4 linked regions of the Nothobranchius furzeri genome follow. The protein of the gene in region 4 interacts with the protein of the main gene of each other region in a pairwise test. Links are inferred from orthologs where the notes say so. Each region holds a gene or a part of one and is shown on either strand. Other genes may lie near its edges.

Evidence for each region.
Region 1: the proteins of kelch-like protein 12 (region 4) and ttbk2a interact in binary tests that used the Homo sapiens proteins (3 or more experiments, as listed by UniProt). The two-hybrid records come from large-scale screens. The link is inferred for Nothobranchius furzeri from reciprocal best matches to the Homo sapiens genes KLHL12 and TTBK2.
Region 2: the proteins of kelch-like protein 12 (region 4) and segment polarity protein dishevelled homolog DVL-3 interact in binary tests that used the Homo sapiens proteins (3 or more experiments, as listed by UniProt). The two-hybrid records come from large-scale screens. The link is inferred for Nothobranchius furzeri from reciprocal best matches to the Homo sapiens genes KLHL12 and DVL3.
Region 3: the proteins of kelch-like protein 12 (region 4) and pdgfrb interact in binary tests that used the Homo sapiens proteins (3 or more experiments, as listed by UniProt). The two-hybrid records come from large-scale screens. The link is inferred for Nothobranchius furzeri from reciprocal best matches to the Homo sapiens genes KLHL12 and PDGFRB.

Annotation. Positions count from the first base shown.
Region 1 is NC_091758.1:23,508,402-23,514,699, forward strand, and holds the end of ttbk2a (tau-tubulin kinase 2), read right to left. Parts: coding exon 6,164-6,298; intron 6,072-6,163; coding exon 5,531-6,071; intron 4,837-5,530; coding exon 4,519-4,836; intron 3,798-4,518; coding exon 2,839-3,797; intron 2,741-2,838; coding exon 2,287-2,740; 3' UTR 2,139-2,286; downstream 1-2,138.
Region 2 is NC_091751.1:58,280,251-58,286,257, forward strand, and holds part of segment polarity protein dishevelled homolog DVL-3, read right to left. Parts: coding exon 5,877-6,007; intron 5,436-5,876; coding exon 5,359-5,435; intron 5,261-5,358; coding exon 5,193-5,260; intron 5,045-5,192; coding exon 4,895-5,044; intron 1,032-4,894; coding exon 900-1,031; intron 546-899; coding exon 378-545; intron 284-377; coding exon 83-283; intron 1-82. UniProt on the Homo sapiens protein: Involved in the signal transduction pathway mediated by multiple Wnt genes.
Region 3 is NC_091741.1:96,091,791-96,097,797, reverse strand, and holds part of pdgfrb (platelet-derived growth factor receptor beta), read left to right. Parts: coding exon 1-172; intron 173-605; coding exon 606-700; intron 701-792; coding exon 793-925; intron 926-1,983; coding exon 1,984-2,088; intron 2,089-2,335; coding exon 2,336-2,446; intron 2,447-4,244; coding exon 4,245-4,401; intron 4,402-4,623; coding exon 4,624-4,790; intron 4,791-5,670; coding exon 5,671-5,783; intron 5,784-5,898; coding exon 5,899-6,007. UniProt on the Homo sapiens protein: Tyrosine-protein kinase that acts as a cell-surface receptor for homodimeric PDGFB and PDGFD and for heterodimers formed by PDGFA and PDGFB, and plays an essential role in the regulation of embryonic development, cell proliferation, survival, differentiation, chemotaxis and migration.
Region 4 is NC_091755.1:52,044,896-52,051,377, forward strand, and holds the start of kelch-like protein 12, read right to left. Parts: upstream 3,708-6,482; 5' UTR 3,632-3,707; exon of another isoform or gene 3,562-3,631; 5' UTR 3,480-3,561; coding exon 3,422-3,479; intron 2,956-3,421; coding exon 2,729-2,955; intron 1-2,728. Other genes in the region: ptpn1 (tyrosine-protein phosphatase non-receptor type 1), read left to right, coding at 5,569-5,625, 6,141-6,231. UniProt on the Homo sapiens protein: Substrate-specific adapter of a BCR (BTB-CUL3-RBX1) E3 ubiquitin ligase complex that acts as a negative regulator of Wnt signaling pathway and ER-Golgi transport.

The sequences.
Region 1 (6,298 bases), on a different chromosome or scaffold from region 4:
TATTTAGGAGGGCTCTGTGCTACTGACACAACAAATCTGAGTTTATTGTCAGTAGATTTGAACACATTTTAGCCATTTTTGTTAACATCAGTTGGTTATTGCAGCCATCTTGAATTATCTTGGATCATAATCGTTAGCAATAAGCAGCTCTCTGCAAAAATATGATGGGGTGCATCTTAGCTACTTTCACACAGCGTTCAGGATCAACACCAGTAAAATGTACTACATGTTTTCTAAGTTGAGTTACCCATAGATTCTGATTGGATCTTGAATTAAGTTGACTCCAAACATTTATTATTTGTGTTTTACATCCATTGATTTACTTTCTGGACGTTTCATTAGAATCTGTTCTATTGCTCATGAGATATTTCGCTAACAAACAAAGGAATTAACACGCACAAAGAAAGCCTTTTAGTTCTGGATAAAATAAATGCGAACCTGTTTTTAGTCAGGTAAGAGTTTGATAACGTGACCTGTGTGTACACAGGAGAGCTGAAACCCAACAAGTGTCTCCACTTTAACTTTACTCAATTCTGCTCAAAAAGAAAAACAACCACTTGCTACCTTATTTACAATAAAAGGGTTATCATTTAACTGCTGGCAGATGTCTGTTTTTGGCTCTTTTGCTGTAATTTTTTCTATTTTTAACACCAGAGTGAACCCTCAAGCTGGCCAAGTGTAAAGGCACACGATGAGACAAACGCATCATGTTTCAGTCTGCAACACCAACAGGATCCAATAATAATAATAATAATATTCACGTCATTCAGTGTGACTTCAAGATTCGCTCACAGCATCACAGTAGGCACAAAACGGTGCGCGCCATCACGCACTCAACATGACTGATTGTACGAAGGGTCACACTGAGCACTCCCTTTAATTAAACACTGAAAGCTGCTCTGAGGGACGCCAGATCACACACTGAAGAAGCAGGAGCCAGAAGCATAGCAAACAAAGCATCTAAATAATTACCTTTAAAAAACGATTAATTTAGCAGAGATAAAAACCCCATACCCTGCTCGCACCCTCCTAAATGAGAGGAGATAATGTAGTCAACATTGTGAACATTATTTCACTGAGCTGGAATCGGAAATTCCCAAGTGCATTTATAGTAGGGCTAAAAAATTAAGATTACTATGGGTTTATGTGTCCAATGGTGCAATCAGTTGCTTTTTAGGTGTAATATTTCTGCCTGCAACATGAAAAAAAATCACTTTTACTCATTTTTTCTTGTGTCTACACCGGAGGTGTCAAACTCATTTTAGCTCAGGGGCCACATTGAGGGAAATCTAGTCCCAAGTGGGCCGGACCGGTAAATTAAAAACAACTTCAGATTGTTTTCTTTGTTTTAATACAATCAATATAAAACAAAGCTGGAGCCTGAGGACAGTGTATCCAAAATAGTACAAGTACAACTCCTGAAGTGTACTTGAAATTTAAAAAAATAAAAAATCTATAAATTAAAAAAAAACATTCCTTAGTGATTCAAAGAGCTTACAGATCACATGGCTAGATCAGTTTCATGCATCACTTAAAGTATATTTGACTCATTTTACTTTACATCTTTTAGCTTTCACCAGCACATCAATATTAGAAGTCACATCCTGAGTGGCAGCCAACTTCAGGATGTGATTCAAGTTCTTGTGTGAGCCTTGAGCACAGCTTTGTTTTATTTATACTCATTACAGAGGAAACTTGCTCACAATGATAAGTTTATTTTCACTCTACATTGTAAAGTATGAAAATAAAGTTTACACAACCATCCCGTGGGCCGGATTTAACCCGCTTGCGGGCCGGATCCGGCCCGCGGGCCGTATGTTTGACACCCCTGGTCTACACAGTGAGAGATATTCCATGAGGATGTCGAAAAGGCCACATTGCCTGCCTGATAAATTATTATAATGGCTGAAGTGTCTAATTTTACCCATAAGGCTCAGTTTGTTTATCCAGCATCCTCATACAAACTGTGAAGAAATGAAATTCTTTTTTTTTTTTCACGAGAAAGTGAATAAAACTCAAATTCAAATTTGGAGCTTGTTTTACTTTAAATTTTGTGTTTGCACAACTTTAATCAGCTGAATTAATAATAATAATAAATAAAAAAAATAAAACCCTTTGTGCAAATGAAAAACAAAGAGAATATTAGGAAGAGTTTCTGCCAGCGAAGGGAACCTAATTATTTCTCTACTAGAACAGGAAGACTCGGGCCTTATCTTTTCTGTTGTCTATTCTATCATCTCTGGAACCTCCCTCTCCTCTGCTGCTGCACCACAGCCTGGTGGGCAGCTATCTGCTCAGCTTGCTGGAGCACTTGCCCTCTCGGCTGCAGCCCTTTCCCCTGGACAGGTGGAGGGGACCTGTACGAGCCTGTCGGCTGCAGCACGTCTCCTGGTGGTGGAGGTAGAAACGGCGGGGAGGAGGGGAGCCAGAGAAGCTGGGAGGTGAGTGGCTGCGGCCCAAGCAAATCCCTCCCCCGCCACCGCGGTGCTCGAGGCGGGAGGGCGAGGAGCTGACGGAGCGTTGCAAAGAGGAGGAGCTGCGTGGCGAGGCGCTGGAGCTGCGGTGGTGATGATGATGTGGAGAGCTCGCCAGGCTGCAGACACCCATCCTGGAGCTGCCGTGCTGCACAGAGGAACGATGGTGAAGGGAGGAGCTGCGGGAGCCTTGCATCAGCTGTGTGAGGCATGACAGCAGGTCTGAGTCACTGTTGCTGCCAGCACGGATGCGGTAACGCCTGAGCCTACATGTGCGCAAAACAAACAGCAGATTGGTTACTGGATTCAACAGAACTATATTCCTGTAACCCAAAAAGGGACGAGTTGAGCCGTAATGTGTTACCTGCCCTCCACTGTGGAACGACTCGGGGGTTTTCCGGGGGGTGGGCGTGGCAGGAACTGGGCCGTCAGCTGCTCTGCAGAGGGGGCAGAATGAACCGGTCGAGGGATCCTGCTCTTGCGAGACAGAGGACTGGAGGAGGAGGACAGAGATGGAGCCTCATCTCCCTGGCGGTCAGAACGGGAGCCTATGAGAGAGTCCTCATCCTGTGAGCGGTCAGAAGTGGAGGACGGTGGATCTCTAATGAGAGAGGCAACAATGGGGCCTCGCCTATCAGAGAGGGAGGGAGAGGCAGTGGGAGAAGGAACTGAGCCATGGTGGCTAGCTCTTTTCTGCAAGAGTTTCTCCTTGGCAGAGCCTGGAGGAGGGAGCTCCAGCAGGCAGGAGGGCTCAAGAACGGGAATCCGGCTTTGTCTCCGGCTGGGATCTTTACGGGAAGCAATGGGAGAAGAGCTTGGAGCTGGGTCACCAGTCTGCTGTGGGGCCAGATTCCCTTCTCCACCCTTTACCTCCTTCATCTGAGGCTCTGTGGCACATGGAGAGGGGCTAGAATCATTGTCCGGGTCTTTTAGCTTCTGGAGAGCGGTGTTAGTTTGGCTGTTAACGGGAGATGAGAGACGACCACTGGTGAGCACGGGGCTGCGGGGAGAGTGTGGAGAGGAGGGTGAGCGTAGAGGAAGCGAGTGCACTGAACGGGGAGAGCGTGGTGATGATGCGCGGCTTGGCACAGGGCTTTGAGCTTTGGTGTGGCTGTCTCTGTTAACTAGAGTCTCAGCCAGGGGGTCGGTTGGTGTCCCCGGGCGGGTGGGCACATGGTCCTGGGGGGAACTGGTGTCTGCTGTGTGCTCTTTGATCTGTTGAGCCACAGTTTCAGCTTCACCACGCCTCTCCAGCAGGAGGCACTGTGGAGCGCTGTCTGATGCTGATTGAGAGGACAGCCCAGAGGGACGCTGAGCCGTCAGCTGTAGGAAAGGAGAGGTGGACAGGAAGAGAAAGACAAGCGGATGTTAGTCCAACAAAACCAACACTAAATCTGGGAGTAAAATTCCTAGAATTAAAAGGTCTGTTGCTGGGAGACCACAGCATGTGGAGTTGTGCTGTAGATCAGCAGCAAGAGCCAGATGCAGATGTGTAAACAGAGAGGAATTTGATTGTATGTGGTAATAAATGGTGATTAGTTTGGCGACAGCATGCAGTAACCATAGCTACCATTATCAGACCAAAACACACAAGTGCTATGGCAGTGTCAGTCAAGCTGTGAGTACTAAACCAGCGGGTAGGACAGGAAACGATCACGCAACTTCGCAGGGGGCTTCAGCGAAGAGAGGGTGAGGAACAAATACAGGGAGAGAGAGAGGAAGAGGAAGATAGAGAGGACAAAGACGATCTGAAACAAAAGAGACCATGCAACCTGTAGTCATGACTGGACATTCCAAATACACATGCCACAATCAGACAAAAGACACACCCCTAATCACATGACAGGAACACAAGGACACGTCTGACCCATGCTCTGTCTGGCCTGCACAATGTACTTCATGGTTTTGGGAGAGAGCTGCCTGACAGCAACGCAACAACCAAACAAAAGAGCTAAACCAGGAAAGCAAGAAAAGCAACTAAAAAAAAAGAAAAGAAGAAGCTTAATGCAGGTTTCATTTCGTGGGATTGCTTTCAACTCATCACCTGCTGAAGCTGGGCGCGAGTGATGCGAATGACTGAGGGGAACTTTGTGTTGGCAGCACCAGCAGGGATGGCCGGCAGTTTCCTGCGGCCGGGCGAGCAAGTGCCTGGGGAAGGGTTGGGTGGTGGAGAAAGGGACGGGCGTTCCCGCTGCTGCTGGTGGTCGGCCGACTGGCTGCGCCTCAAGCCTGCAGGCTGGCGCTGGTGCAGTGGGTCCGACAGGGTGGTGAGGAGGGTGTGAGGACTGGGAGAGCGCAGAGGGATAGGGCTGGACGTCCGTACCACGACCTCCTCAGGCAGAGATGGAGGAGAGGTGGGGAACTAGGAGAAGGGTAGGAGAAGAAGTGGGAGAAAGAGAGAGGAGGGGTTGTGAGACCGGTGAGGGTGTGCTAAAATGGAGTTGGAGGAACTGTGAATAAAAAACTGTGTTGCTCTTGCTAGAATTGTGATGGTACATGGAGATCTTGGATGTCTGGGAAGGCTCCTTTTATTTATTGAAGAATGTGATGGGGGACAATTAGTGCTAAAAGTGACTAAATCTATAGATTGATCAGAAACCTTGAACTGGACAAGCGAGAATACTTAAAAAAAAAAGAGCAAAGGAGCAACGTAAGCTCAGCAAACCAAAATCTGATTTTGAAATCAAGTAGTGACGTGAAATAAAATAAACACAAATGTCTGCAAAGGAACTATGCATAACTTCTAACACAAATGAAGCTGGACTTTAAAGCCAAAAGCTCTCTTTTCCCATGTTGTAATTGAACTGAAAAGCCTTTAGGTTGTGTCATTTCATTGTGCTAACAACTAGTGAAGAAGCAGGCAAACACAAAGCAGTAACATTTACCTTCAAACTACAGCAAGATGCAGCTGGTGGAACTCGGATTGTTTATGATCAAAGCATTGAAGTTCTAGATCTAGAACTCTGACTCTGTGCAGCTTTTTATCTTTATAAAATGCTGACTACAGTCATTATGTTTGCCATGTTGTGGGATGGTCTTCAACACGTGCAGCTTACCTGAGTAAGTATTCCCTCAGCCAGAGCTTCAGCTGGGCTGGTTGGAGTGATAGGTGGCAGAGCACCTACAGGACCCACACTGAGCTCTAATTTGTCCATTTTTGCACTTCCCTTAGAGGACGCCATGCTTTCCTGCTTAGCTTTCCCAGAACCCGGGCTTGGGGAACCCTTTTCCCATCCAGGTGTGTCTTCCTCTGGCTGTAGCACTTCAGGCTCCTCATCCTCCTCTGAAGGGCTGGTTGGAGCTTTGGCTCCAGGTGAGCCGCTGGGCCGCTCCACCATTACCCACTCCCTTGAGTCAACGTCCTGCCTCCCAGAGCTCAAATTAAGGGCCACGAAGCCCCCGCTGCTAGCTGCCCCCGCTCCCTGCTCAAAAGACCCTGGTGATGCTGGCTTTGGAGAAGCATCTCCAGACCGGAACTCCTCATCATAGTGCCAGACCCTGTCTGATTGCTCTCCAGGCACAGCTTGACCCTGAGTTCCTGGGGTAACACCAGCCTCCTTCTCCTGATGCTGGGGGCCAAACTGTTGTTTCCCTGAACTGGAGAAAACAGATGGAACAATCAACAATGGAAAACTCCAAGGAGGAATCAAGGTGTTCATGCGCATACGCTGAAGGTTGGACAAACATACCAGGCATCCGGGAAACGCTCTGAGCTGGGCTTAGAATCCAGGCCCAGCCTCCTCTCTAGCTCCAAACTATGGATATTGCGGAGCTTCCTCATTAAAGGCCCATCACGATCTCCAGGGGCCACCTCTGAGTGCAGT
Region 2 (6,007 bases), on a different chromosome or scaffold from region 4:
AAATAAACAGATAATAATCTAACTGTTCGTTGGGTAAACATAGCTTTCCTGAGTTTACACAATAGTCTGAAGCCAGACTCACCACTGTGCTGGCTTCCTGTGCTGCCAGCGCCCGGACCACCAAACGGCTGTGGCAGGTCATAGGGATGTGGAATAGGAAACTGATACGGCAGTGCCATTGGCCAAGGAGCTGCTCCAGGATGGGGCAGCGGGGGGACAGTGTCCTGGTCTGAGGCACCCCCACTTGAGCCGTCATGGTCATGTAGGGACAGGTGGGTCATATCTGAAGAAAACAAACACATAAATTAGATTATGACCTTTAGATTGACCACATTTAGTTCGTACATAAAAAAAACTACATTTCAAAGTCCACTCACTGCCACAGAGGTCTCCAAACACATAGTAGCACTGTTCAGAAAAGGTGATCTTGTTGACTGTGTGTCGAATGTAGCCGACTTTCAGCAGGTTGCTGGCGTATTTTCGTGCTTCCCGGCGATCTGAGAACCCTTCCACGTGGTGGAAGAGCCAGTCCACCACATCAGAACCTGAGGAGGCAGAATAGAGAATTTATTTTCTGACATTTGACTGCTAGCTGTTACATGACGTTATAAAACCTGTGATGAACAACAAACACTGAAAAAATATGTCAGAACATCGCACGTCCCACCAGCCGCCCAAACGCTTCAACAGAGCAGCGACTCTCGTTGCATGTAATGTAATTACTACTACTGCAAAAGCATGCGTCTTCTGTGCTTTGGAATGAGCTTCTCTCACTGTTAAGCAGTCTCCATCACTCACCGTCTTTTAAAACCAACACTTGGATTTAACACTGGTTTGTATTTTAGAATAATAATTCACGTGTTGTGACAGAGTCCAAAAGGGTGGTCTTATAAACATACCAATAAAGGCATTAGCGATGGTTATCTTCAGCCACATCCTGTCCCGCACCTCCAGGCCCGACTCAGGACAGGCCATGGCCTTAGCAACCGTTGCCATGTCGCTGTGGATGGAGAGGTGGAAGTCATCGAACCCTAGAAGACAGACGAGGACACACAAATATGTAGTTTTAAAGGGATACTTTGCAACTTTTTCATAATTTTAAATCATTTTCTTGAGCCAGTATGACCCTTTACAAAGTCAACAGCAATTTGAACTGATCCAACAACACAGATGCTTTGTATAAGAAGGGCCAAGTTCATGGTTTTTTAGTGGTCAAAGGTTACAATAATAGCTTACAGCTTATCTGTATGTGCATGTACATTTGTTATTATTTTTCTTCAAATTATTCTCTTAAGTGTTGGTGTTGCTGTAGCAAGAGAATGTCCCCAGTGTGGGATCAATAAAGTCTATTTTATTCTATTAGTGAAAGGCCTCTATCACCACCTGTGGCCAGAATATTCCACTTGCAACTTCAGACTGGCGGGCTGCTCTGTTGGGACTTAGTCTGGTTCTAGAATGTTTCCTGCATGTTTTGCTCAACTCAACTTTATTTATAAATCGCGCCTTACAGGCAAAAACATGCCACCAAGGTGCTACACAGACCAAGTAAAAACATAAAACATTAGGTCCAGAAAATAAAAACATTGGATCACACGATACAGACAAACAACACAGTGAATGTGTGGGATCACTTTAAGTCAAACAATAAAAACTAGTTAGAAAGATTAAAAGACAGATCATAAAAGTAGGTTTTTAGCCTTGCCTTAAAAACCGTCACAGAGGTGGAGGCCCTTATGCTAAGAGGAAGCTCGTTCCAACGCTTAGGACCTGCCACAGCAAAGGCCCTATCACCACGCGTCTTTAGGCGTGACCTTGGGACCGAGAGGAGCATGAGGTTCTCCGAGCAGAGTGACCGTGCAAGGGTGTACGGTTGAAGCAGTGACACCAAGTAAGGAGGGGCCTAACCATCTGACGTTTTAAAAACCAGCAAAAGTAACTTAAAACGAATCCTTACATCAACGGGCAGCCAATGAAGCGCAGCCAGGACAGGAGTAATGGGGTCATACTTGCGCCTGCCCTCAAAACCTGGCAGCAGCATTCTGCACTATTTGCAACCTGGCTATTGAGCCCTTGTTACAGTAGTCCAATCACACCGTAATAAAAGCATGGGCTACCGTCTCAAGATCATGTCGTGACAAGAAAGGTTTGATCTTTGTCAGCCGACGAAGGTGGAAAAAGGAGGAGGAGAGCACTCCATTGATGTGGGTATCAAAACTAAGGGCGCTATCTAGTTTAACACCAAGATTAGTCACTGATGCACTCAGCTGGCCATTAAATGACCCACAGTCAGTTAGGGAAGAGTCACAATGTCTGCTTGGAGCAAACAATATAGCCTCTGTTTTCTGATCATTTAAGCTCAGAAAATTTCCACTCATCCAGGCCTTGATCTCCCTCAAACAGTTCGTAAGAATAGAAATAGAGAGACCACTTGACGTGTTCAGAGGCAGGTACAGCTGACCATCGTCAGCATAAAGGTGGAAGTGAACTCCAAGCTCACTACAGATGTCACCTAAGTGCAGAATGTAAGTAGAAAACAACAAAGGTCCCAATATCAAGCCCTGTGGTATACCCCCCAGGGTAAATCAGAGTACTTTGAGGAATAACTTCCCATCCTTACACACATCTTTCTATTTGTCAGGTATGATCTGAACCACTCCAGGGCTAACCCAGAAATCCCGACATAATGGAGACGGTGAAGCAGCGCTTCATGGTCCATCGTGTCAAAGGCTGCCGTGAGGTCCAACAGAAGCAACAACACAGAATTACCGCTATCAGTAGCTAGATAAATGTCATTGAGCACTCTATCCAGTGCAGTCTCAGTGCTGTGTAGAGCTCTGAAGCCAGACTGGAAAGCCTCAAAAATGCCATTCTCATCCATAAAAACCAAGAGCTGGTGGTAAACACATTTCTCTAGTGCCTTACTTAAGAATGGAAGTTTAGAAATGGGCCTGTAGTTTGCAGACAGTGAAGCATCCAGTCCAGGCTTTTTGAGCAAAGGTTGAACAACCGCCTTTTTAAAATCACCAGAGACTACGCCAGAGCTTAGGCTCATGTTAATTATGTGCAATATTAGAGGGGTGACTACTGGAAAGACTTCTTTAACCCTCCCACTGTCCTACTGGGTGTGACCCCATGAGGAAAGCTGACCATTGAGCAGGGTTGATGGCTCATCCCTTGGGTCCATGTGGCAGGGGTGAGGAATGAGCACCGCCTCACCCCTGCCACGTGGGCCTCAAGGGATAAACCATCAATCCTGCTCAATGGTCAACTTTCCTCGCGGGGTCACCCATAAAGACGGTGGGAGGGTTAAAGAGGCGCGCAGGCATCACGTCACCTGGCAAGCCGCTCGGCTTAGCCTCCCCAACAATCTTGATCAAGTCATCTAAACTAATTGGTTGAAATGCTATCAAACCTCTGATAGTATCGCAGAAGGGCTTTCCCCATAAAAAAGTCAAAGAACTCATCACACATTTTAGCTGAAGCCTGCACCAAATGGTGATCAATCACTTTCAAAACTGAGTTAATTGCGGTATAAAGTACTCTAGGGTTATTTGAGTTTAAGGAAGTGAGAATGGAACAGATCTAACTGCCTCCTGGTAAGATTTGCAACTGTCACGTAGAGCAATTAGGGAAACATGCAGATTGTCCTTCTTCCACTGATCATGAGCACAGCTGATTTGTTTAATTTAGTGATGAATCACTCCTGTAGACACTAACAGGCTAGGGAGATGTTTCAGCTTTTATTAGATTAAGGTGTAAAAAAGACTCTAACCCAACACACAGCGAGGAGATAGGTTTTGCTTTTGGTTCTACAATTGGACACTAGAGGGTGCTAAAAGCAAGCCAAAACTGCCTTGTTCTCCTTTAGAGGTCTGAGATTTTACTTACTAAAAAATGCGGATGTGTTCGGAATTTGCCTAAAAAGATATCTGACTTATTTTGTTTCACCAAAAATGTGAGACATAGCTTAGCCTTGTCCATGAAAAGCACTTGGACCGGACCAAAACTTTGCTCGTTTTCACAGAAAATGCAGCAGCTTTAAAACAGCCAGACCATGGAATATTAAACCTCCCCACAACGGTGATTCCCAGCTGGGAGTCCACACCCCTGTAACAAAGTGCCAAAAGCAACAGGAAGCATGCCAGGGTTTCACTGCACCGGGGTTGTGAAAATACATTTTGCACATGCACAAATAATAAATCTATTACACGAATCCAAATGCTGCACAGAGATCAGTAATAATGCATTTTCTGTAGTTTTACACACAAGTGGCTGCACGGTTTACACTGACTGAAACAAAACCCAACTGTGCATCTTATGACGGCTGAAGCTAGTTTTACTTTTCTGCAGCCGCATGTGAAATATAACCCACAAAAATGAACCAGATTCATGACAAAACAACGAGAATGATTTTTACAGGTCTTATCAAGTCAAGTGTGATTCTATTTAACCCAAATATTCAGGAACATAGAAATGAAGGAAGGAAACATTTTTCTCGACAAATGAAGCTAAAACATCCCAGTCGTTTCCAAAGATTACAGAGAAGATTAAACTTGTGAGTTATGGCTCCGCTTAGACCGGGAGTTATCCAGCAGATGGAAGCCGTGAGGCTCCCAAATGGAACAGAGACGAGTCACAGGAATGTGGTTTAAGGGCGAGGCCACACTAACAAACATGTCTGAGGAGAATCGGAGTATTAATAAAAGACTGATCGTGAAAACGTTTAGTTGGTGCACCTTTCACAGCAGTGCAAACAGTCAGATAAACAAACAAATGACAACAAATAAGAAAATGTGCTTAAACTACCGAGGAGCGAGCGATGACAGTTGATTTGAATAACAGTGCCTCAATAACAAGCCACAACAGGCAGCTGCAGGGGGACGACATGACTCACGTTCAGTCTCGGGGATAGAGCTGCTAATGGAGGAGCTGGTGGAGGTGACGGTGCTCATGGAAGGGCTCATCCCGTAAGCAGGGTAAACCCCGGTCATAGCGGCGGTGTGGGACACCCATGCAGCCGGGTCGATGGGCCGGATGGGCTCACCTGGTCAGTGTAAGGAAAGCAGACGGAGTGACATTAAAGTAAAACTAGAAATGAAATCAATCCGTCATTTAGATTTATGAGCACTCCAGCATTTTCACAGAGAACACATGTAAAAAAGAAAAAAGAAAAACCAGAAACAAGTACTCACTCCTGGGCAGAGCAAAGCAGCTCCGAGGGTTTGGGTCCCAGCACTTTGCAACAGTCAAGGTGATGGGGCTGCAATAAACAGCAACATCACCAAGACTCAGACGTGTGTTTTGTGGGTCTAACTATAGAATGTTGTGTGTGTGTGTGTGTGTGTGTGTGTGACGGACCCTGGCTTGTGCACGATGTCCCTCAGTACTCGGACTGCGTCGTCGTTACTCATATTCTCAAAGTTTATGTCGTTCACCTTCAAGCGGGAGAGAAAGAAAAAAAAAAGTCTGAAAATTACAGCGTGTCAGACTGCGTGCATTTTTCTTTAAATTGTGCATAATTCAGAGTGACACGAGGAATGAGACCTTCCACATAAATAATTTACTACAACAGAATCTCAGCGTGCTAATAACTCCCCCTGCACAGGGTCATTAACCGAACTGGGAACGTCTCAAAGCAATAAGAAAGTTTCCATGTAAACATCTTTACAGCATGACGACAAACTAGATTAACATCATGAGGAAGAGAATGGATGCATGCAGGGCGAGGAGGCGCAGGCTCTGCTAGCTATGTAAGGACTTTTTTCCAAATGCATGCATGGGAATGATAATATGAAGAGGACAAAATTATATAAACAAACAGACCAAGGTCAAAGGTCCATGCTGAAAATATGCACCGTCTTTCCACAAACACACACCTGTAAGAGCATGTCCCCAGGCTCTATGCGCCCATCTGCAGCCACAGCCCCTCCCTTCATGATGGAGCCGATGTAGATCCCCCCATCTCCCCTCTCATTACTCTGACCCACAATACTGATGCCCAAGAAGT
Region 3 (6,007 bases), on a different chromosome or scaffold from region 4:
CGACCGGAGGAGCTGAGCATCCAGACCAACGCCAGCTACAATGAGACTCATAAAATCATCCAGGTGCGCAGCAAGATGGTCTTCCTCAAGCCTCAGCACTTCACCGTTCGCTGTGAGACCACCAACCGAGCCGGACTGGTCAGCAGGAGGGATGTCAAACTGGTGTCCAGCAGTAAGTGCCACAAGATGTCAGACCTTTTATGTGTCATTTACACTTAGATAAGGAACACCTGAAGATTAGGAAATGCATTTTTATAATACGTTTATACATGTGTTTCTAAGCTGAATATTCAGCCCCTGGTGGCATTTTTAATTGACTCTTTGATGTTGGGCTAAAACTTTCCATCTTCAGATACGTTTTTGTCAGTAAAATCTGTCTATGTACAATATATATAAAGGCTATCATGTTTGTACCACAGATATCAGATCAGCTACGTTTTAAAGAAAATGTGTAATCTTGTGTTTACATTTGGTTAATAGTTTTTGACCCCCTTAATTGGTTAATTCTCCGTAAACCACAGACAGACGGATGCAGAGCTGACTGATGCACAAACATAAAGTTTTTCAAATGTAGTGATCTTTTCTGTCTCTGGTGTCTGTGGCAGCCTTGTTCTCCCAGGTGGCAGTGTTGGCTGCTGTTTTAGCCTTAGTGGTAATCATTATCTTGTCCATCATCATCCTCGTCGCCGTGTGGAGGAAGGTAAGACACTCCTCATCACATAAAAACAAACAGATCAAAATTATTCCTTCTTCCTCATGGCTCCTTGTTGTCCTCTTCACCCGTGCTAACAGAAACCACGCTATGAGATCCGATGGAAGGTGATTGAGTCCGTGAGTGTGGACGGACATGAGTACATCTACGTGGATCCCATCCACCTGCCCTACGACCTGGCCTGGGAGATGCCCAGAGACAACCTGGTCCTGGGTGAGTGTGATGTACCAGGAGTTGGAAAGACCTGTTTGTGTTTATTTTAATGTTAAGAAAACAGAAAATAAACAAATCACAAAGGCACAAAGTTAAAGAAAATGTTTAGTTGTTTTTTTTTTACATTTTAACCAAAAATAATGCTTAAACTTTATTTCCTACATGTGAAAAACTGATTCACGCCATTTTTAATTAAAAATAACTTTGTTTTAAATGATAATAGAAAGATACGATCTTTGAAAATGTTATAAAAACAGGATCTGTTTTTGCAAATGAACTCTTCATTTTTATAAAGTGGAAGGAAAATGACCATCCTCTGAATTCTTGTTGCTTTTACCCAGCTTCCACACTTGTTACAGCTGTGGTTTATTTAAAGAAAAGGCCTATTGATGCTGACTAATCTGATCATAGCTATGGCAGTTACAGGATATTTATGACCCATGATCAGCAGAAATAATCTCTTCTTAGAAGCTGCCTTTTTTATTTTTTTTATTATTCAATACAAAATGACCTTACAATTATTATTATTATTATTATTATTATTATTATTATTATTATTATTATTATTATTATTATTATTATTATTATTATTATTATTATTATACCGCAGTGTGCTCTACCATGTTATTGGGTAAAGGGTCGATGGTTCCTATAATCGATCAGTTGTGGTTTATTTCTGAGTGTCTGACTCTGAGCAGGCTCTTATCCGTCACCCAGATGAGGACAAACTGTTTAAACTGGATCCATCCCCATGAGGCTTTTGTACTGCGAGTGGTTGGTTGTCTGCACACGGAATCCCTAATGAATACTTTTTAAACTGGACTCAGTCCCAGTTTAGCTAAAAGCTCCTTTTCATGCGTTTTGTTATTTTCTCTCATACAAACTGTCTCGAAGCTCTTGACATATTTATTTTCTGAATCTGCCAAAGCAAGTTTTTATATTAGTGTCCTTCAAAATAATAAGTCGAATCCCTCTCACTTATGTTCTAATGGGGAGAAGTGTTTGCTTCTTTCTCAGATTTCACACCGTGTCCCACTGAGGCCCTCTTTGTGTTTCAGGTCGAACTCTTGGATCAGGAGCTTTTGGCAGGGTGGTCGAGGCTACTGCATACGGTCTCACACATTCCCAGTCCAGCACAAAGGTGGCTGTGAAAATGCTGAAATGTAAGAAACACAATGTACAATAAAAGCTTCACATGCAAGATATCAGGCAACAGCAGCCTCCTGCACGCTCTCTGACACTGTCTCCCAGCAGCAGCCTGCTGAGCTTCAGCTGGTCTGACAGCCTGATTCAAGTTTCTTTTGACGTTTTCTGGCAGGAACACCGTTTTTCTCCTGCTCGCTGTACTCGTGTTGCTGTTCTCACATCACGTTCAGGTTAACACGTGTTCTTTCCTCTGCCCTCGTCCAGCTACAGCCAGGAGGAGTGAGACTCAGGCTCTGATGTCAGAGCTGAAGATCATGAGTCACCTCGGTCCTCACCTCAACATCGTCAACCTGCTGGGGGCGTGCACCAAACACGGTGGGCATCACACGAAGCTTTCCCACCAACACACACACACACACACACACACACACACACACACACACACACACACACACACACACACACACACACACACACACACGTGGTTCACGTAAAAATATATATTAAAAATTACAGCAAAGATTACTCTGTAGCAATTATTTCTGCATTTTCCTGTTTGTTCAGTAGGTTGAAATGATAAATATTTCTGTTACATTTGGATGAAAAATCCACTAAATTTGATTGATAACTGGTTAAAGATGACTTTTCCGGCACATTTTCTTCTCATCTGATTAAACCGCATTGATCGTATTTGCACTAAGTGAATAATTGTGTAAACAAGAAAGTTATGATTTCTTGTAAGAAATGGAAACAACCGTGTTACAGAGATGAAATTATAAAAATAATAGAAATGTTGATGTTTTAACACTGGACACCATGTTAACACAGCCAATGTGAACTCACTGATTTATGTTTCATTATACTAACGGTAAGCACAGCACTCCTAAGTGAAATGTTACAGCCAAATCAAATGTTTTGGCTCATTAATTTGTAGCTTAGGAAGAAAGATTGTTGGATCCGATTAGCAGGGCACATCTTGCCCTCCATAAAGTAGCTGATGGAATTACTGAACCCTTTTCATACATTAATGATCAGCTCCTGTTGAGACCCCAACCAGACTTTCCCTAATTCTATAACATCCTCACCTCTGCCAAGAAGGAACAATCATTCCTTCATAACTCATTCCATGAGACCGTTACTTGCTAACCGTTAGCATTAGCAACTCCCCAACACAGCAGAACTCCTTCAGGCTTGTGTTTTTTACGGAGATTAAACATAACTTTGCAAAGCGAGCAGAGTCAGTGGAAGAGTTGCATTGCTGTTAGCCAATCAGAGGTGAGATATTTCAATATCATGAATAATAATGAGTAAGACTCCAAATATTACTGTTTTCTGCCCCCCTTTCTTCTGGCTCTGCTTCCTGAAACAGGAGTGCCAGAACTTTTTTCCACAGATAAGAACTCACAAGGCAGTTCTCCCTGTAGGGGGTAGAGTTAATGATTTTTTGTCAGAAAACTATATTAAAAATAAAATTTCCATATGTGCATGTTATGTTTTTAAAGTGACAGTGTGTATTTCCCCTTTTGATAGAGGGCAGTACATACCTAAATTACTGCAAGCAAGCAGTATTTTTGTGTTTGAGTAAGACCTTACCAACGGATGGCCATTAGGGTCAAAAATCCCTGGGAGCTCAACCTCCAGCAAAATAACAAGAACATCAAACTCCCTTTCATCACTGGCAACAATGAAGAGTTAACCCTTTCAGGCTCAAAATACGTTTTGATAAAAGGACAAACAACTAAGTCCCTCGGGGGTACTTCTGAGTTTAAAAATGCTCATTAAATACATATGTGGAGTAACCAGGTAGGTAGGTTTTAACGTTGCAAATCTGCAACGCCTGCCTCCAGAGGGTTAAGGTGTAAAACAACAATGTTTATGAATGGTGAAAGATTTGTAACCGCTTGATACAAATCAGTAAATGCATTTTGTCCTCACAGGCTCCCGTAGAAGGAAACATGGCACCTATTATGGTGTCGCCCAGAGACTTAGACCCGCTCTCGTGTATTTTAGACCAGATTTTTATGATTATATGTTACAAAGCCGCCAATATTTTTCAACAGTCGGGCGTCATTTAATTCATTTTCAACAACATTTTGAGGGATATTTCCAGAGATTAACAGTATTTGCAACATTTAGCTTGTCTTTAAATCCTTATCCTTCATGTTTGATTTAGGCCCCCTTTACCTGATTACCGAGTACTGTCGCTATGGTGACCTGGTGGACTACCTGCACAGGAACAAGCACACCTTCTTGCAGTACTACGCTGAAAAGAACCAGGAGGATGGTTGCCTCATATCAAGAGGAAGCACCCCTCTCAGTCAGAGAAAAGGGTGAGATGAGTGAGGAAAATGCATTCAGAGCTGCACAAAGGAACATTTTATAGAAAATGGAGGACTTTTTCCGAGAAATCTTTGCCTTTGTTTTCAAAAAGTTCTGTTTAACTGATTGTTACAGATGCTTCATGTGATCAGCAACTACAAAAGGCTCGTTTGGATCTGGGTCAGTCGGGTGTTTTTTGATTATTATTTTCACACTTTAACGTATTTTTGCAGCTATGTGTCCTTTGGAAGTGAGAGTGATGGAGGATACATGGACATGAGCAAAGACGAGCCTTTGGTCTACGTGCCCATGCAGGAACAATTAGACTCCATCAAATATGCGGACATCCAGCCATCCCCGTACGAATCGCCCTACCAGCAGGACTTCTATCAGCAACAAGGTTCGACTTGACGCTGTCAGAGAAATCCGTTAGGATTATTGGCATGTGAGGATTTTGCAGATTTGCAAAATGAGGAATAATGAGAAAAACCAAACATTAGATCGAAAAGTGTGAAATGATGATGTGATTTAGCACAGTAACCATTTAGCTTTGTCTGACTAAACCTACTAATTCTGCACACTAAGAGAAAACAATTGGGAATGAAAACGGATGGTTTCAATTCAGAGATTTGCTAATAAAATATTAATAGTTTTGTTAGCTAGGACATCAAATGAGTTCCCTGAACAAAAGCAAAGTAAACCACGTGTCAGAGTCAATGAAAACCAGTGGGTTTCCAGCTGAAATGTAAGATTCAGTGTGAGCTGCTCAGATCAGGGCCCAACATCCAAATGTTTCTTTCACTTCTATGTTTTTAAGTCTGGACCTTGAGATGTCAGAGAGCTGTAGAGATCAGTGGAGTGTAAAGGGTCTGACAAGTGGAATGGTGCCGTGTGTTTACGACTATTTAAATAAACCAATAAAATCATAAATTGGAAGCTAAACTGCCACAAAAGACGAGGTCAGGTCAGGTCAGACCAAGAGCAGCACGGAGACATCTAGTAATCAAATCAGACGCATTAGTAGACCTAATTACTGTCTGAATCTGATCTAATAAACTTTAATTAGATGCCCTTTATTTGCAAAAATTAGCTAATCTAAAAATGCAGAATGGAAAATTGCACCAAGATTTCTAGCAATAGCTTTGAGAAGAAAAGAATATGAAAAATCTTCCGTATTTATTTTACTCTTGTTCACTGAACTTTTTCACAGAATGTGTTGCTTTATAATAATTTTATTTTGGAACTGTCTTTGAATTTCTCCTCTTTGGGTCCTGGTTCAGGTGGAACCAGACTGGACCTGGTGATCAGTGACTCTCCCAGCCTCTCCTATGATGACCTCCTGGGCTTCAGCTACCAGGTGGCAAAGGGAATGGAGTTCCTGGCCTCCAAGAATGTAAGAACTTTAAGACAACGCTCCAGATGTGTAGCTACCTCACACAGTATCCAGTAGGAATTATAAATCTTTCTTTTGTTTATCAGGTTTAATTAACTGGATATTTCCTTGACAGTGTGTTCATCGAGATCTGGCTGCCAGGAATGTTTTGATCTGTGAAGGAAAGCTGGTGAAGATTTGTGACTTTGGCCTGGCCAGAGACATCATGCATGACTCCAACTACA
Region 4 (6,482 bases):
GCGATTCGCTGCCAAGTGGACTGGAATAACAAATGCTGCAGTAACGGGTGTTGTGGTCAGGTTCATGAAGAGTCACTGGCTGGAGCGGACTCGACTTTAATACGTCATCCCAAAATGGAAGCTAATATGACCTTGAATGAAAAATGTTGTTATAAAACCTCTTAAAAGTTTTTTTTATCACGGAAGTGGCAGCGCTCATTTCTGCGTTCAGTCTGACGGCACAGCGCAGCGTGCGCTTGTTGAATCAGTGTGTGTGTGTGTGTGTGTGTGCGCGCGCGTGCGGCACAGCTCCATGCGCCGCTCCAGTCACCGCGTCTCGTTATTGGTGCTATTCAAACCAATGTTGTAAAATTACTTCTGCCCAGCCCAGATGTGCTCACATGTGCACCCGTGAGCCGTGGTTCCGCTGGAACGCGTCTGACCTCTGACAGACGCACTCTGAACTTCAGACCTTCAGCGTGCTGTTAACAGCCTGACACATTTAGAATGCTGTCCCACAGTCAGTGTGCTAATATAATAATATAATAATGCTAAAATGCTCAGATGGGAATCATTTCTTGATTTATTCTGTTACATCTACAATGTTCTGTGTGTGTGTGAGGTTTACAACTTCAGAACACCTGCATGAGACAGGTGTTAATTACAATCTGCCAGAATGACTCACCACCTTCAGATTCCTCCAACACCGTTAAAAATGATCAAATACTGAACATATCCTGCTGTTGACAGCGTGCGCAAGCCAGAGCGCTGAAACTCGGCGCATTATTATGAAGCTAGGGCACATGCGGAGGACACACACACACACACAAGCAAAATATACTTGTTTTCCAATTACATTTATTGGGCCCACCCACAAAGGAGTTTCTGGCTACGCTAATGGTGACATATGACAGACTTCTCTGAGCTCCGCAGCCATTACACTTTTCACCTCGCGCACCCCCTAGCGGCAGCTCGCGCACCACACTTAGGGAGTCCCTGCTCTAAGGTAGAAAAGAGAGAAAAAAAACTCCAGATGCATTTTTCTGATTTTGTTCCCTTACAAGGATATTTATGCCCTGTAATTATATCGGCATTTAGAGGGGCAAAAGGGTTTCCGTTAAACAAACACTGTCTCTGAGGAGAGATCCATCCTGCAACAGTTAGTATGTTCAAATGTGTCTAGGAGGGATTTTTAGGTCCAGTGTTAGTCTGAACAATCCACCCACAAGCTGACAGCTCTGAAAACAAGTTATCAAACCTGCCAATAAAAGGCACGTCCTGAATGACACCCTGCAGCAGGATCTCTGATGATGCAGCATGATAAAGACTCGCTGCCTGAGTAGCTAGACTCCACCAGGACTGGTGTCTGATCCTGTCAGCAATCTTCATGAACGGAAGCTCACATCGCAGTCGAGTGGTTTGGGTCTCATCTCTGCTTTAGGTGACAGCAGATGATGTGGTTCTGTTAGCATCTTCAGGCTATGATCTTTAGCGTGCACTAGCATGCTTCACAGCTGGGGGCCGAGGGCTGGGATGAGAATCAGCTCCTCTAAGACCGATGTCATTGTTCTCAACCGTATAAAGGTGAAACACTCCCTCCAGGTTGGAGCAGAATAATTAAAGTATCTTGTTAACTAAGAGATGGATCCAAGTAAAACAGAATCTATTAACATCAGCTGGTAAAAACGTTTATAAATGGAGCAGCAAACAGTGTTTTCATTCAGTTAGATGCAATGGTTGCAAATGCAGCTTCATGAAAAGTTAAACACTTAGCATGGAAGCAGATAGCAGCTATTTTTAGGTCTGATGGGATTTCCTTCAGATCAAGAGTCGACTGTTCAGTTATCTGAAAAAGTGCTGTGCTCATTTTCTAATGATGACAACAACTTATTATCTAAAGAACGTAAGCTTTGTTTTCTCCAGATAAGATGAATACGATGAAAATGGGAGAAATTCCTGTGTTACGCCCGTTTTCTTCATTTAGTAGCATTGCTGTGACTCTTGGATGATTAAAACTTATTGATGTGCTGTTTACTTTTGAATCAGTTGCAAGCAAGACTGACCTGATTTCTGATGAAGTAGCCCTCTCTGGTTGTGAGTTAGAAATAACTGTCTTAACACATTGGAGCAAGCTGTTCCAGGTCAAAATGTCTACATATTTCAGCCTGTTATAGCAACAAAACAAGCTTTATCCCCAGTGAAAGCATTAAATAACAAAATAAACCATTATTAAAAGACCTGCAAATGAAACCATATTTGTAGGCCTGTCATTGTGCGGCTTCCAAACGTCCGAAGTTTTGTTTTGTTTGGCTCACACACAACGGTAAAATGTAGACTTCTGTTATTTACTCACTAAGTAAAAAGATCTGTTGGATTTGAAAGATCTCATGTCAGAATAACACATGGATGCTGAGGGTGCTGTTCTGCAGCATCTCTTACTTATGAAGCATGTTGGAAGTAAAACTAATATTATGTAAATATTAAATAAAGTCTCAAATGTTGGGATGAACTCATGTGTTCCTACAATACAACTGTACTTAACAGAACCTCTTCCTAAAATAAATTTAGGTTTTCTTTTTATTTCCCATCAAATGATTTGAAAAATTTGTTGTACATCCAGTATAAAATCCACACACATCCATTTAAGTTACAAGTAATAGTTAACCCAAACAGGGGAAATGCCCCCAAATTGTGAATATTTAAAAAAAAAACTGTTTTGTACATTTTAGTCCTGAAAAGAAAGTTCTACCTCACTGGTGAACATGGCACAAAAGTAGTCGCTGCAAGCAGCCAAGACGATCCGGTGAGCAGGAAAATCCGCGTTGTCCACCCTCAGAGTGATGTCGCAGAGTGTGTTACTCTTGCGGAGTGAATTCATTGCATTGAGGATGGATTTAGCATGGGAATTTGTCATGATGTCTTTGGGAGCCATGCTGTTTGGAGGATCCGTCATAGATCTCAAACTCCCACAGGAACCTAAAATAAATACATCAAGACAAATAAACGGAATTCTTGCAGACCACAATGCCATCTGGGAACAGGAACAGAGACAGGAAGCACCGGATTATTGGATTAATAATAATAATAAAAACTTTAGCATTGGCTCATTAGTTAAAGATTATTCAGGAACCATCATGACTACTGAAAAAACATTTTTGATGAATCTGTAGAAATCATTAGATGTGTGTGTATTGGTTTGTTGTTTTGTTTTGGAAGAAAAAAACAAGGAAAGACATCAAATAATGTCACATCTGTCAGTGGAAGAGTCCACAAACAGGTATTATCCATCCTTAGGTATTTAAAAGCTGATATGTTGATTAAAACCAGACAAAAAAAAAAAGAATAAAACAAACGTATTTGTCAAACAAAAACCCATGTTTGAAACTACAAGTACATTTAGTTAGAACCAGGATTTTTATTTGATCGTGGTGATGAAACTTACCGTGAAAAGATCCTAACACTTTTTCCACCACTGGGAGGCAATAACTATAGCTACACATGAGCTAAAAGCAGCACTGAACAACAGCTGACGGCTAACGCCAACGCCACACAACTTCAGAAAACAGCAGCTACAAAAGCGGCCTGTAGGCCAGAGGGAGACAAAACAAGAAGCGACACACACACAAGAACTTGGCAAGAATTTGCATTATACCTGCAGGGCAGAGTCAAAACGTCTAGCTAAGTTGTTTTGCTAACTAACTGTAGCAGCACCAAAGTCTCAGTTCAAACCGCCCTAATCCATCATGACCTCCGTCAGGTCACACCAACACACGGCCTCCGCGGGGACGGGTCTGTTCAAAATATCAAAATTATCTCATATTATGTCCCAGAACGATCTTTGAACACCAACAATTTAACGTTGACTAAACTGCAGTGGGTCACAGTAGCGCCACCAACAACATAGTTGGCAAGCAGATGTATCATATAATAGTTGGACACGAACTTTCAAACAAAAATCCAGAATTCACTTGTTCGTAGTAAAATGAATAGCCTTTAGTCTGTGGTTGTTGTTGCTGTTGTAGTATATGTTGTTACATGACTATATGTTGTTACATGACGTTGTTACCTGATGTTCAGACATGATGTTGTTACTTGATTTTGTTACATGATGTTACTTGATGTTGGTACCTGATGTTATTGCATGATGATAGTACATAATGTTGTTACCTGATGTTGTTACAAGATGTTGTATAATGTTGTTACTTAATGTCACCTGATGTTACCTGATGCTGGTACCTGATGATGTTACATGATGTTACGTGATGTTATTTGATGTTGTTACCTGATGATGTTACATTATGTTGTTACCTGATGTTGTTACTTGATGTTGTTACATGATGATGTTACATTATGTTGTTACCTGATGTTGTTACTTGATATTGTTACATGATGATGTTACCTGATGTTGTTACCAGATGTTGTTACATGATGATGTTACATTATGTTGTTACCAGATGTTGTTACATGATGTTATTATTTGATGTTGTTACTTAATGTTGTTACCTGATGTTGTTACCCGATGTTGTTACCGGATGTTGTTATATGGTGTAGTTACTTGATGTTGTTACTTGATGTTATTACCTGATGTTGTTACTCGATGTTGTTACCTGATGCAAAAACAAGGTAAAATAACACTTGCTGTGTTAAAAAGAACAGTAATGCAGTAGAAATGCAGAACAATTTAATAAAACAATGTCAAATGTTATGACATGTTACTCATTTCTATGCACAGTGTAGAAGTAAAATGCTATTTGTGACCAAAGTGCCATTTAAAAAGATGAACTCAAATGTCAACTCACTTGTGCAGTGGAAATATGAACTAGACAAAGACATGGACAGATATGTTTGCCACATCTGAAGGGGATAACCTAATATAAATTAATGGAAAGCTGACATAATTTGCTTCAAAAGTTTGTTTTCCCTGACAAAGTCTCAGTTATGGAAAACTTGAGACACAATTTTAATATTGTGACAGTTTTGGTTATCATTGGTTTTGATTTTATAATTCAGATTGTCATTTTGACAGAAATATTTACACTGACGTTCAAATTACTTTTTAAATGTAATTATATTAAATGTTAAAACAGCTTGCCAAATTCACCGGCAGCCGGGGCGATGACGTACACAGTGCGTGAGTGTGCGTGCGCGCTCCCCAAAGAGCGAGACGCGTTTTTTTCCCAGAAATATGATGCCTCCCGCGCGTCCTCGCCTGTTGGTCGCTGCTGTTTCAGAAATGGTGAGATGACGATTCTGTGTCAACAGACTTACTTTCCAGACTTGAAGAAGTGCTGTGAATCCTACACAGATATCTCACAGCAGCAAATTAAAACAAAACAAAACACATTGTGCTCTTTTTAGCCACCCAAGGACGACAGCTACACCGTGTAGGAGGAGCTAGCGGCGTGTTTCCGTTAAGAGTAGGCCGAGATGGCGATCTAAGCAGCCGCACTGAATGCGAGCTAACAGCGGCCGAAGATTGGGCAGCTACTACCGGAAACCGATTCACTACTAATTCTTTAATTACCGGGAAGCTGTGGTTCTTCGTTTTGGGCTGGGCGTAAAGAAAGAGTGGCAGCTGAACTGGAAGCAATGGAAGCCGAGTTCTTGGAAATCGATGAGAACGAGAGGTGGAGCGCCATTTACCAGGTAGGAACTATCGGCTGATCATCAAGGTGGAGACACGAACCGTAGGTGAAGCTGTCATTTTAGGCCTGCTCACAACGAGTCAGCAGATATATAAGGTATTAATAATAATCAATGTTTTTATTAGTCACCGGGACTTTTCTGGGTGTGTACAGCCTTGTTCTGATGTGTCTGTCCGGGTATAATACCTGCAACACTCGCTAGGACCCAGGAGTGGCCCGGATCTGTTCTGACTTTAATAAACCTTTATCAAGTGTCCATTAAAACGTTAATCACGTTTTAAAATGCTGTTTAATCACTACTCATGAGTAACTACTTTATTATGATAATTTTAAGTGTGTGTACATGTTTACCTGCATTAACAGTGTTAATAGTGTGATGTCTAGACTCTTTTTTTCTTCTGTTTTTCTAAAGAATTAAATTTAGGAAGTAAGGCCTACATGCACTCAGATCCACTTTCACAGTGTGTGAAACCTAAATCTGCTAAAATTTATTTGGTAAATTTTATTTTGTCTCAGGAGATTCGCCAGCAGTCCAGCGAGTGCGCATGCAATGATGCCAAACTGCCTGAAAACAAGACTCGAAACCGTTACAGGGATGTCAGCCCATGTGAGTTACACTTTGATCATCAGCAGACTCGTTTGTTGTTTTCTCTCGGTTATTATAACCATTCTTAAATTCAGGTAGATTGTGTATTTCCTATCATACCCATATAATAATTCAAAGGTGACAGATTGTAAATTGTTAGGATTGTCTCTTTGAAACTAATTTCTAAATTTTAAATAAGAAAACAACAGTAATTATACAAGTTAGAAAATGTAAAAATAGTTACTATCCACAGAACTAAATCCATCACAGTC